Linked DNA regions of Drosophila melanogaster. The gene in region 1 interacts genetically with each later gene. Each region holds a gene or a part of one and is shown on either strand. Other genes may lie near its edges.

Region 1 (4,129 bases):
AGTTCACGCGCAAAGTGCCCATCAATCATATACGACAGCTCGTTGAGCACAAGCATGCGAAGCCCGTGTTTAGCTCGCCCATCGTCGAAGGGGAAACTGTAATGGTTAGTTGTCAATTTACCTGCATGGAAAAGACGATCAAGGTGTACGGATTTGGGAGCAATAAGGACCAGGCCAAGCTATCGGCTGCCAAGCACGCCCTTCAGCAGCTAAGCAAATGCGACGCCTAATATGATGATTCCAGCCCAGTCTAGTTTCTGCTAAACTGCATTGAATTTGCTTTCTAGCCAAGACGTAATCCTTTGGAAGAGGACAGCAAAGGGCACCTAATGAACTTAACTGTATATCTTAGAATTAAAAAATACTTTTCCATCGCTTTAATAGACATAAATGTCTAAAACCAAAAAATCATTTTTGATCACCATAAATTGTTAAGACCTTTTAAATCAAAACAAAAACAGCCCATTTGGAAACACAATCTAAAGATGCTATGCCAATTTCCTCAAATACAAACGGTTTTTAATTATTTTTTTATCAATTATTGCCATTTAAAATGTTTTAGCTTCATTGTTATTAATAAAATTTAATAGCTTCCCCAATACAATATTTGTTACCTTGGGTCGAAATAAATATTTTTATACAATTGAATTTATCAATGGGCGTTTTTATTTACCGCGTGCATGCTTCAATGGGATTTACAATCGGCGACGTCGTCAACGGCGTATCGCTACTTATTTACATTAAAAATGCCGAGTGTATTCTGTTCATCCTCTAGATCAGATCCATGTGCTTATAGCCATACATCATTTGTTGCTCGAGGGCTCTAGTGCTTCACGAATTACAAATTATAGTAAGTAACATTTGGGGTTAACCCGAAATCATAGGTTTTCAAAGTGGTAATTGGTTATGTTAAAAAACAAATCGATTAGCATTATGCTTACAATTGGAATGATTAATCTAGCAAGACAAAATACATACTAAAAAAGTGGACACACACAAGTACACAATACAACTAAGGGGTAATCCGAATGCGCATTCCGGTTTGAGATTAAATGGAAATAAATCAGCACAACTTATGCGACTTAAACGCGACAGGTGCAATCCGGCTTATTGATGCTGCGCTGTCGTGTCTGTAAGTTACGGAGAGCAGCTCCGCCGTACTGAATACCGCTGCCGATGCGCTCGGGATCCAGCTCTCCGGTCTCAATTTTGGCCAGTATGGTCTTTGAGCACTTGAGAAAGGCCTCTTCAACATTCTCCCCCGTCTTGGCGCTCGTCTCCAGGAAGATAAGCTCTGCAACGACAAACAGACGTAGAATTACGATAGGAAATTTATGGAGAATCCTAAAAAACAGACCGTTCTCTTGGGCAAAGGTGCTTGCTTCCAGAAAGGTCACATCACGCGCCTCCTCCAAGTCCTTTTTATTGCCCACCAAAAGGATCACAATATTTGGGCTGGCCAGAGTGCGAGCATCATTCAGCCAGTTTGTCAAAGCATTGAAAGAGTCCCGCGAAGTGGCATCGTAGACCAGGAGAGCTCCGGCTGCTCCGCGATAGTACGATCTTGTCACCGATCGGAATCTCTCCTGACCGGCTGTGTCCCATATCTGTAGCTTTACCGACTTGCCGCCCACGTTCACAATCCGCGAGCCGAACTCCACTCCGATGGTGTGCGAACTGTCGTCTTTGACTTTGATGGTACATCAAAATGTATAAAATGCATTAGGCGTGTACCATTTTCAGGCTACCACCAAACTTACACTTGCTCTCGATGAAGTGATGCAACAGACAACTCTTACCGCTGCCAGCACTGCCAATTATCAGGAACTTGAACAGGTAATCTAGGTGAGCGCCGAGCACCGATATTAATTAGTAAAATGCATTAATTAATTAAATGTGTGCTGACAAACCGTATGTTTCCGACATTGTTTTTGTTCGTCTTCTGCGTAGTTGTCTTCTTTGTTTGTTTTGGTTTTTCGGCCAGACTTCAGGACTATCGGATTGCTGGTGCGTATGGGCACCAGGAAGTGCGCAGGACACGATCAAAACCCGCAATATCCGTCGATAAGTAAGCGTTTAAACAATTAGAAAGCCAAAAATTACCTTAAAATCTTTGACTGGACTCACTTCAGTGAGAAGGTTCGCTACAAACGCGAAAATACCAACAAGGGGTGGGTGTGACCAGGTGGTTCAAAATATGATTCATATTGCAATTAAGTTTTTGTTTACTTTTAAAATATTTCCAAATATATGAAAATTGCCGAAAGCTACAAAGAAAAAACAAAATATGAAATGCAGCCCACAAAGGTTTATTGTCTTTTTTCAAAAACCCTCTTCTATTCATCACACAATTTGCATACATACATATATGCAATAAAAGTATAAAAGATGGTGGGCCCTGGTAATCCAACCCGGCACATAGTCTACGTATCCTTTTGCTTCTCTGGTTCGTAGTCTTGATAGCAATTAATGGGATCCTTGGCCGTATAAACTGAGTATGCCAATTTGCTGCCCTTGAAGTTCTGTAAACTCAGGGCAGAAAGGGAAAATTACTTAAAATTAACCATTCTGATAAGCACTATCTGCCGTACCTTCATATCGCCAGATATCAGAGTCCAAAGGAAAACGAACACCGCCGGTATCACAGTGGACAGGACAAACAGCTCGAATGTGTTAAGCTCCCCAAAAACGGATATTTTCATTTTAATTTCGTAATTTTTGATGAGTTCTTTGCGAATATTAGTTTTTGTTGATGACTAGTTGTTGTTCTCACGTAGGCCGCACAGTGTTGTCACACCTTGCTTTTAAAGTTTTACGCTATCCTACGGTCACACTGTAGTGGTATTATTTAGGACATTTGAAACTATTGCGTTCATTGCGAACATTTTGGTGCGTGTGAAAAGTTATTAAATCAACAAAAATGGCTTTCCGCATACCTTTTGGCAAGAAGCACGCTGAGATAGCGAGTTCCTTGTAAGTATATGCTGTCGTGCTTGATTCTGCATCATGAATTCATTAGTGTTCCCGCTCTTTTACTGCTACCAAAGCACACATTGCATAACCCCATCCAGAGAACTAAACTAGTTTCTTTTAATTCGTAGCATCCGATCTGGAGCCGGATTCGGAGGAGCTGCTGGCCTGGCCGTGCTTTACTACACCGACTGGAAGCTGGTCCTACAGTACGTGCCCATCTACGGATCCAAGTTCGAAAAAAGCGAGTAACCTTGCCTGCCGTAGTTGAATCCACAGTTAGCCTCGATGTTTTGCTTGGTGAATAAAATAAGTTAAAACGACCAAAGGGTATTACTGAGTATCGTATATTACAAATAACTTTGTAGAGGGCACAAGGATCGGTTAGATTATTTCTCTAGCTAACTAATCGCTAAGGCTTAAGTAACTGTTCCCTAAGTCTTACATGGCTAGCCTATTTTGATCAAGCATTGTATAAAAAAGTACAACGGCGAGCTGCCCATTCGATTGGAAGAGTACAAAACGGTTTCTTTTTTGAAAAGAGAAATATGAGATTGCGTATTTGGAAGCCCGAATAGACCGACGATTGAATCCTTTTAGACAAGTAATTTGGAATTTCGCTTAATAAATTCTAGTTTGAACCATAACTTTCCTAACAATCCGGTTCAACAAAGGAGGCGGGGAACAGCCCGGTTTTGTGGGTACGGGCATGGGTGCCCTTATACCAGCCGTTCTTCTGCTTCCGCTGGACGTAGATAATGTCGCCCAAATGTAGCTCTAGTTCAATGTCACTGTTTGGTGGATACGGCACAATGCAGCGGAATCGACTACGATAAAAGGTTGCATTAGTAAATCTCTAAGCTCACAATAATGTATTGCAAAACCCACCTTTCCCTCGTGCAGTAAGGAGACTTAGTGGTGGCGCTGGCCTTAATGGCCGCCTCCGTGATCATATTGCTGCTGGGACTCAGCACATGACTCGCATCTAGGCTGTGCGACTTCCGATGGCTGGGTGCAATAATCATATTGGCATGCAACTGGGATTGCGCTCCACCTCCAGGAATCACCTGTTGCTGACCGCCGGCGTAGACAGCTGGGGCCACGGAAGTAGTAGGTGGCGGCGGCGACGCGGCATTGTTGTACATACTGCGAAATGTAG
Region 2 (7,949 bases), on another chromosome or scaffold:
GGCTGCCTTGCAGCGTTGTCGATGGGTCTCCAAAGCATTTTCCGCCACACCCAGAAGTTGAGCTGGAGCCCTGTAAAATAGCAATTATTTATTTCTTTCCATCGGACGAAATCTGGACATGTTACCCCTTGGTCCACTGTTTCAGCTGCAGTAGAGATAAATCCAGCACTGCGTCCGCTCCATGCATGGACAATTTAAGTTGATACTCGGAGCAGTGGCTAAGTTGCTGCACTTTTAAGCAGGTCACGGTGTAATCATCATAATGAGTCGGCTGGTCCAAAGCTTGCGGCCAGTAGGGATCGAAAAGCTATAGAACATATCAAATATTTAGATTCAATAATCTCATAGTTTTGCTGAAGTTACTCACTTCATTTGGGGTGTGCAGGCAAACCACAGTGCGCGACTTCTCCGACCAGATCATGGACCAGAAATCGTTGATGGTATTTGGCTGGGGAGTCTGAGCGACAATAAAGTTGGGACAGCCGGCACTCAAGTTCTAAATGAATAACAACGGCGTTTAAAGATTGTGTGCTATAAAAACATTTTCTGGAATAACTCACCTTCATGTAGGCGGCATTGATGTAGTCATCGGTCTGCTTGTCCAGCTTTACTCTGGCATGATCGTATGGCAGACAATCAAGGGATCGATTTTTCTCCGGGAACAATTTCGCAATGGTGGTGGATCGCTTGTTGGCAGCGGCTTCTTTATCCAACTTTTGCTGCAGCTCTTGCCATTTGGCGCCCAGTTGTGTTTTTCCATTCAACATTTTCACGTGCAAATTCTCTAGTAATTTTTCATAGCTCTCCACCTCCTTTTGGAAATATTTTGTCGTTTTTTCGTCCGTAAAAGTTTCGGATTGGAATGCAAAACTGCTCGAATGGCCATTGGCTGTGGCAGATGCCTTGGTCTGTTTCTCACTGACGGAATGTGTAACGGATACCGAGTCCCAGTCAAAGTTCTCCAGGGAACTTAGGTCGGAACAGTTGGATAGGTTATCTAAACTGGCACACTTCGGACCCGAAGGAATGGTAACTGGAGTTTGAGCAGTTCCCTCGGTGGCTGCTACAGGAATTTCCGCTGTTGCGGGAGCAGCGTGCTCTGCCACACTTTCTACCTTAACAGGCACCGATACCTGACTTGCCGGCGGCGTAGGAGTGGCCACCACCTGGGGCTGCAAAACAGGCTGCGGCAACATTGGCGGCGGAACAGCAACGGAGCAGTCAATGTCCAGGTCGCTAAGCAGATCCACATTGCTGGTAACCTTGGGAGGCAATGCCTCCGGCTTTGGTTCTACTTTGGTCAAAGCCGCGGAGGAGGCGTAAGGAACTCCGCTGGAAGTCGTCTGGGTTTCAGCAGTGCTGCTCGCTCCACTTTGCATATAAATTGAAGCAGTTGAATTCGAAGGAGGCGCAGGAGTGGGTTGTTGCTGCGGATTTACACTGCCAAGGTATCCATAGGGAGTGGAGTAGTAGTTGGATGACTCATTGCCCTCTATCGCAGAAGTGGAGTCCTTAGCTGCCATATTAACCTTGGTGTGGGACACGATAGGTGACTGTTGGATAAAAATTTCGTTATTTTAGGTCTCAATACCTTTAATATATATGGGCATAGCACTTACATCGAATCCAGTGGCGGTATTGCTGCGACTGGCAATCTCTGAGTCCGTTGTTCCCACCGACTGCTGCTTGCCACTCTGGCTAAACTGGTAGCTTTGCGAGGCTTGGGATCCCTTCAACGAACTGGTATCCTGCTGATAGCCACTGCTGTACTCGTATTTACCTGTCTGCGGATTAAAGCTATAGCCAGGATGGTTGGAATAGCTGGTGTAGGTGGCCGAAGGATGCGGAGATGTGGGAACCTGAGCTTGAGATGAAGTGGGGGCTGGAGTCGGTACTGGAACAGGACTTGGTACAGAAGAAACCCCAGGAGCTGGAGCTGGAGCTGCATTGGGATCAGTGTACTGCTGTGGATATGGCAAAGGTTGCCCAGCATTCGGAGGTGTTGCCTGCTGGCCAGGAATAGGTTGTGGCGACGCCTGGACAGCCTGCGATGGATAAAGTGATGGCTGTTGCGGAGCAAGTGACTGCTGTTGTTGTTGTTGTGGATAACCAGATGGTTGCTGCTGATATGCCAGTGGTTGTTGAGGCGTCTGGGACTGGGAATACCCGGTGGTCTGCTGCTGCGATGTCTGCGATTGTGGATATCCTGTAGCCTGTTGCTGGGACTGAGCATACCCAGCTAGATGTTGTTGAGGTGTCTGTGGATATCCAGTCTGTTGCTGCTGTGCTTGTCCAGTCGATTGCTGATTTTGGGCATAGCTGGGCGCTTGGAGCTGCGGTGCTTGCGACTGTGAATATCCAGTTTGTTGCTGAGGCGTCAGCTGTTGGGCATAGCCTGATAATGGCTGCTGTTGATAAGCTCCCACCTGTTGCTGCGGTGTCTGAGATTGTGGATATCCACCAGCTTGCTGCTGTGGCCCCTGACTTGGCGCATAACCCAAGGGCTGTTGAGCTGATTGTCCTGTTGAAGAGCCCGATGGTGCTGTAGGATAAGTCACCTGTTGAGCTTGAGCATTGACCTGTTGGTAAGCCTGCCCTGAATAACCTGCCGCTGTTTGGTAGGGATTGGACATTGGATTGACCACGAAGGGTGCCTGCAGGGTGGACGGCAGCTCACTGGGATTTGAAACCGAAACTGGATTGCCCGATGTAGCCACATACAGAGGCTGCTGGATATTCAATCCCTGGGAAGCTGAGCTTGCGGGCACTGTTCCGGGTGGAGCGTAAGCTAGAGGAGGAACAGACCCACTTGGATACCCGTAATTATAAGCCATGCCTGCTTGGTTGTTATCCTGCGACTGGCCCTGCAAATTCATCTGACCGAGCGCTCCGTGGAGGGTCTGAGAGTTTGGCGATGCTTGGGCCTTGTAGGCCGGTGGAGCAATGTGCTGCTGTTGCTGCTGATACATGGGATTCGTGTAGCCGGCGGCACTGGGATCAAAATACTGCTGCTGTGTGAGACTATAGGGTGGAGGTGGCTCATTCGGTGGTGCAGTGGCATAGGAACAAGCGGCCTGCGTGGGATTCTCCGAGCCCACCGGCACTGGACGCACTGTAGGCACATAGGCGGGATTCGAGGCATCCGCCATCGCTGCCTTGGCCTTGAGGTAATCCCTTAATTTGGGGGTGCTGCTCACCGCTGGCACAGGCGTAGTTTCCGCTATTGGTTTGCTGACAACTGGAGTTGTTGCGGCCTTAACGCTCTGCATCCTTTGCTGGCGCTCTTCGGACTGTACATCCCTGGCGGATCGAAATCTGGTAAGTAGCTTCTGTACATTTCCGGCTAGTTTCTTGTAGAATTCCAAGCCCTTGGCGGATTTGGCCAGCAGATCCTCATAAACATCATAGGATGCAGCTAGCGAGCTGTAAAAGTGCTCCCGTTTCTGCTTCACGTCCTGGAGCGTTTTCAAAACTGGTGCCGCCTTGGCATAGTTTTCAGTTAGAGCTTGCAGAATATTACCTTGAGCCACCATATTCTGATCGAGAAGTTCGGTGATCTTGTCGTGCTTGCCCAGCTCGGTTGCAAATAAAGCTTGGAGGCCCTCCTGTCCACCGTGGGCAATTACTTTGCCAGTGATATCATCCTCATTGATGGCTATCCTCAAATCCGCATGAAACTGAGCACGTTGCGCCTTCATTTCGTTGACTTTGTTGAGGATGAGCTTCACATCCCTGAAAATTTCGGTGGTATTCAGTTCCGAACTTAGTTTGGGCATCAGTTGCTGAATCTCAGGCAATGGTCTGGCCAGGATCTTTAGATTATTTACGTGCAGGCTCATGGCTTTCCGCAAGGTATTATTGGATTCCCCTGCCCGTGCATGGGCTTCACTGTATTTCTGGAACTCTCGCGATAACTCGGTAATGTGGGCATTTGGTGTTCGTTGAACGCCGGTGGCGGATTGGAACTCTCGCTCCGCTTTGGCTTCTGCCTCCAGCATGCTTGAAATCTCGCCCAGGTTGGTCTCCACATCGGCTGTAATCTCAGCCAGCTGAGACATGGCCTCTACAAGATCGCTGATAGCAGTCTTGTTTGCATTTAAGGCGGCACAGCGATCCACGATGCCCTGGGGCAACTTATTGGCTTGCTCCTCGTTGATATTCAGATTATCCAGGGTGAGGGAGCTCATGTACGACTCCAGTTGGGTGTCCTTCTCCTCCAGCAGAGCTCCGTACTTACGCAAAAGTTTGGCTTTCTCTTCGCTGTACAACGAGCTGGCTTCGTGGGCCTTCATGGGCACTAATCTGGCAAAGATGTCTGGACCCGCGTGCTCCTCGTCGCTTACTTGAAAGCCAATCCCATTGACCAAATTGGCACCTTGGACGGCTGCAATGGTGGACAATTCGGGCACCGCCTCATGGTAAATGAACTCATTTTCGTTTTTGGCATTTTTGCGCTTTGCTTCCACCACATCAGCGGTGAAGCTGAGGGATTCATTGATTTCCCGCTGGTCAGGAAGGCCCTTGGACTCTTTGCGCGCCTCCTCCAGTTTGTCCCAGGAAGCCTGAAAGGAATATAAAGTAAGCATTTAAACCTTTCCTTTAAATAGAGCTCAAAATGTTATAGTTACCTGGTAGAGCGTCACCCTTTCGCCCATCTGACGCTTCTCCTCGGAATGTTGGCCCTGGTATAGGTACAATATGCAGGTGAGATAGTTGATCTTGAAGCGAACGTACTTCTTCCACAGTTTGTACACAGAACTATCGATGACTTGAGCCACTGGACCATCATCTCCTCCCGTAAGAAGAGCAGCCAGTGCAGCTCCATAGTAAACCACAATCTGCGCCGTCACTTTGGCCACAATATGCGGTTTCCTATTGTCGATTAGCGACTTCTCGAGTATGCATTCCTGAGCTTGGGCAAAGCACACCTGTTGCTGAAAGACCAGCAGCTCTGGGGTCATAAAATCCCCTCCGCCATTGACATTGGCATAGCGTTCTCTCAGCTCTCCATAGGCCCAAGCAGCCGCCTGGAAGTGAGTGCAGGCCATCTTCATTCCATCCACATCGCCACGGGTCACCGACGCTCCGGACTGAGTGTGCAATGCGGCAATGTTGAACAGCACCGCAGCCCGTTCGAATCGCAGATCAGTGACCTCGTGAACGGCACTGTGATAGAGATCCTTCCATTTAAAGGTGAAGATTCCGCGATCCGCCAGCTGTGGAAATCGATTCTGAAGGGCGTGTAGCTGGCAATAGTAGCGTTTCATCACCGGCGCTCCATCTTTCGTGGTGTGCATGGCCTGGTTGCGCAAAGTCTCCAGGGCATGGACCTCTTTGGAGTAAGCCTCTGGATCTTCATGATAAAATTCCGCGATGTACTGGAAGTAAAACGTGAAATGTTTTAAGTTGGATTTTTGTTATGGAGTTTAGTGTAGGAAAACAAGAATATATTTTAGGGTAAATGGGTTTTCATGGGGAATTAAGTGCAATAACCCAACAAACTGCCAGTGTTTGCTTATAACTTTTTATTTGTTTGCCAATTTAATCAGATGACGACGATGACTCAGCCGCCAGACAAAGGGGGCTTAAAAGTTGGTGAAAACGGAAAATGCAATGGAGCAAATGGCATGGTGAGAATGGGAATTTCGATTCCAATATGAATCCAATAAGCAACGCATTTTCCCAATTTGACCGATAATTCCGTTTCACCAAGTTGTCTCCTCTTTGTTTTGCTGGCTCTCTTAATTATTTCACTCCCCCTTTCGCACTCTCTTCCTTTTACCTTTTTCAAAGCCGCAAAGGAGGTTCCCTCGGGACTCGATTTTAGGGCGAACCAGAGCATATGCAAACGGGGCACCGCCTCCATGGTGATTAGTTTACTTGTTGCCTGCCCAGTTGGCCTTTTATTTTACACACAATTTAAACTAATTGCTGGCAATTAATTTACCAATATCAAAACAAGATTGTTTTATGAAAAATGTTGCAGTGTGGCCGTTTCAGCTTTCTGGAAATATGCACTAAAAATGGCAGGTGCGTAGGGGGTATTCCATTCATTGGCATCGATACTTTTTAGAACGGTATTCTTTTCCAGAAGTATTAAATTTTTATGCCGATTAAATTTTATAAAGAAAATGAAATTTAAAAAATTTGATATTACGAATGCGAATGTCTAACAATTTATATAAATTGTTATAGATGGATGAAAGAAGTGCACTGCATATATATCACTGTGAACGACAGTTTACATAGTGACGAAGCGCACCATATTTTTGTTTGTTTTTTTTTTTCCTTCCTTGAATTCCCCATTAATCACAATTAGTTATTTTATTAATAGTAAATGCGCAACCAGACATTCTGTAAATATTTGTTGTTTATTTTTTTTATTGTTTATACATTATCAACTTAGGCTAAACACAGATGGGGATTTGGATGTAATACAAGTCGTGTGAGGGTGACTAATAACAAGAATGCAATTATTAGCTAATTGCCGCTTACAAACTGACGATGATACAATGGCAGCATACGGCTAAGTTAAGTTAGGTACATACGTTGGTCGTACTAAGACTAATTTAGACTAATGGAAACGCTACTAGGCTTTTCGCTTTGCTACGAGCCGCTTTGGAGATGTTTCGATACAGTTCCTAAGAGGATTGCCCCCTCCCCATTACTAATTACCCCTCAATTTCTATATACATGTCGCTGCTGTGCGTGGAGGCCGTGGAGCTAAAAGTCTGATCAACCTCGGGATCACTTAGCACACTAGCATCCGACTCGGTCTCCAGGTCCAGGCGGGAGAATTGTGGCGCTGATGTTTTACTATCCTCCACATTTGGTGTATGCGCATCGATGAAGAAGTCTGTGGAGCATGAGAAAGTAAGACAGAGTTTAGTTTAACCATTCATAAGAGCGAACTATATAAAATGAAATTTTGTTATGGGAATATACGGGGGAGTGATTGCAAATTTAGATCATTTACCTGCGCCAACGATTTAAAATTTGGACTTAATGCTTGAGTGGGTGAAGGGTTATGGAGGTGCATTTATAGTCGTTTAGTTTGTAAGTGCTTTAAAAGGCTACGTCGTGTAGTTCAGGAGTCGTGGGCATTACTTGTACTGCAAAAAATGTTTGGTGTTGATTCAAATGATACGATTTCTCTACGTAATGATGTGATTTTTGAATTGAAAGTGCGGTCGTTTCACAAATACCAACCTGATTCGACGCCATTCCATTCGCTGACCACCGTATTGTGGCTGTGCTGGTGGGGATTGGGGTGATCTTCGACAGAGCCTTCGTAGATCTGCAGATCGGTGGCCAGCTTGTCGTGCTCCGTTATTTCGTCAAAGTCAAAGATCTCGGTTACTTTCACCTTGTTCGTGTTGCTGTCAGTATAGTAATAGGCATATAGAGCGTCGTTGTGCGTGGTCATCTTGAGGACATGCTCAAAGTTGTCGACATCGTCCTCTAGCGGTGTGGCTCCACTGAAAACCAAAAGAACGGCACGATTAGTTAAACGCTTCCTTGGAGGATTAATCCTACTGCTTAACTTACCATTCATCCACAAGGATTGAAACACGGGGTCCATATAAGCGGCTGGAATGAAGAAGTCCTGTGGCATCGAAGTGAGGCTGGTCATAGAGCTGCAATAAAAACACATTCGTTAGTATAATTCATTTCATATTCAAATTCATTGCCAGCCGTCAATTCTAAATAAAACAAATTTATGAAAATGTGAGCGACAGCCTTAATGCACTTCAATTGATTACTTAAGCAAATGATCACAAGACAGGTACCTAATTAACTTACCGTGAATTTATTTAGCAGTCGTATCCGCATGGCGTGGTTCAACTGCAAAATTAAGTCCTCCACCATTACTCTGGCCTGCTTGGTAAGTTTGGGCGTCAGTGCTGATATTCTAAATATAGATCAAATAGAAATGATAGTTAAATATG

What was found. A genetic interaction does not mean that the proteins touch.
Region 2: of Rab4 (region 1) and mop, changing one suppresses a phenotype caused by changing the other (phenotypic suppression), as found in Drosophila melanogaster (one study listed by BioGRID).

Annotation. Positions count from the first base shown.
Region 1 is NT_033778.4:17,571,496-17,575,624, reverse strand, and holds Rab4 (Rab4), read right to left. Parts: upstream 2,164-4,129; 5' UTR 1,927-2,163; coding exon 1,911-1,926; intron 1,842-1,910; coding exon 1,761-1,841; intron 1,691-1,760; coding exon 1,358-1,690; intron 1,295-1,357; coding exon 1,083-1,294; 3' UTR 646-1,082; downstream 1-645. Other genes in the region: Dcr-2 (Dicer-2), read left to right, coding at 1-230; CG42239 (uncharacterized protein), read right to left, coding at 2,424-2,522, 2,592-2,702; UQCR-6.4 (Ubiquinol-cytochrome c reductase 6.4 kDa subunit), read left to right, coding at 2,921-2,973, 3,102-3,222; POSH (plenty of SH3s), read right to left, coding at 3,623-3,797, 3,859-4,129.
Region 2 is NT_037436.4:14,770,130-14,778,078, forward strand, and holds the start of mop (myopic), read right to left. Parts: upstream 6,001-7,949; 5' UTR 5,867-6,000; coding exon 5,783-5,866; intron 5,379-5,782; coding exon 4,629-5,378; intron 4,563-4,628; coding exon 1,620-4,562; intron 1,554-1,619; coding exon 561-1,553; intron 497-560; coding exon 368-496; intron 308-367; coding exon 126-307; intron 71-125; coding exon 1-70. Other genes in the region: bmm (brummer), read right to left, coding at 6,672-6,856, 7,210-7,478, 7,549-7,637, 7,804-7,912.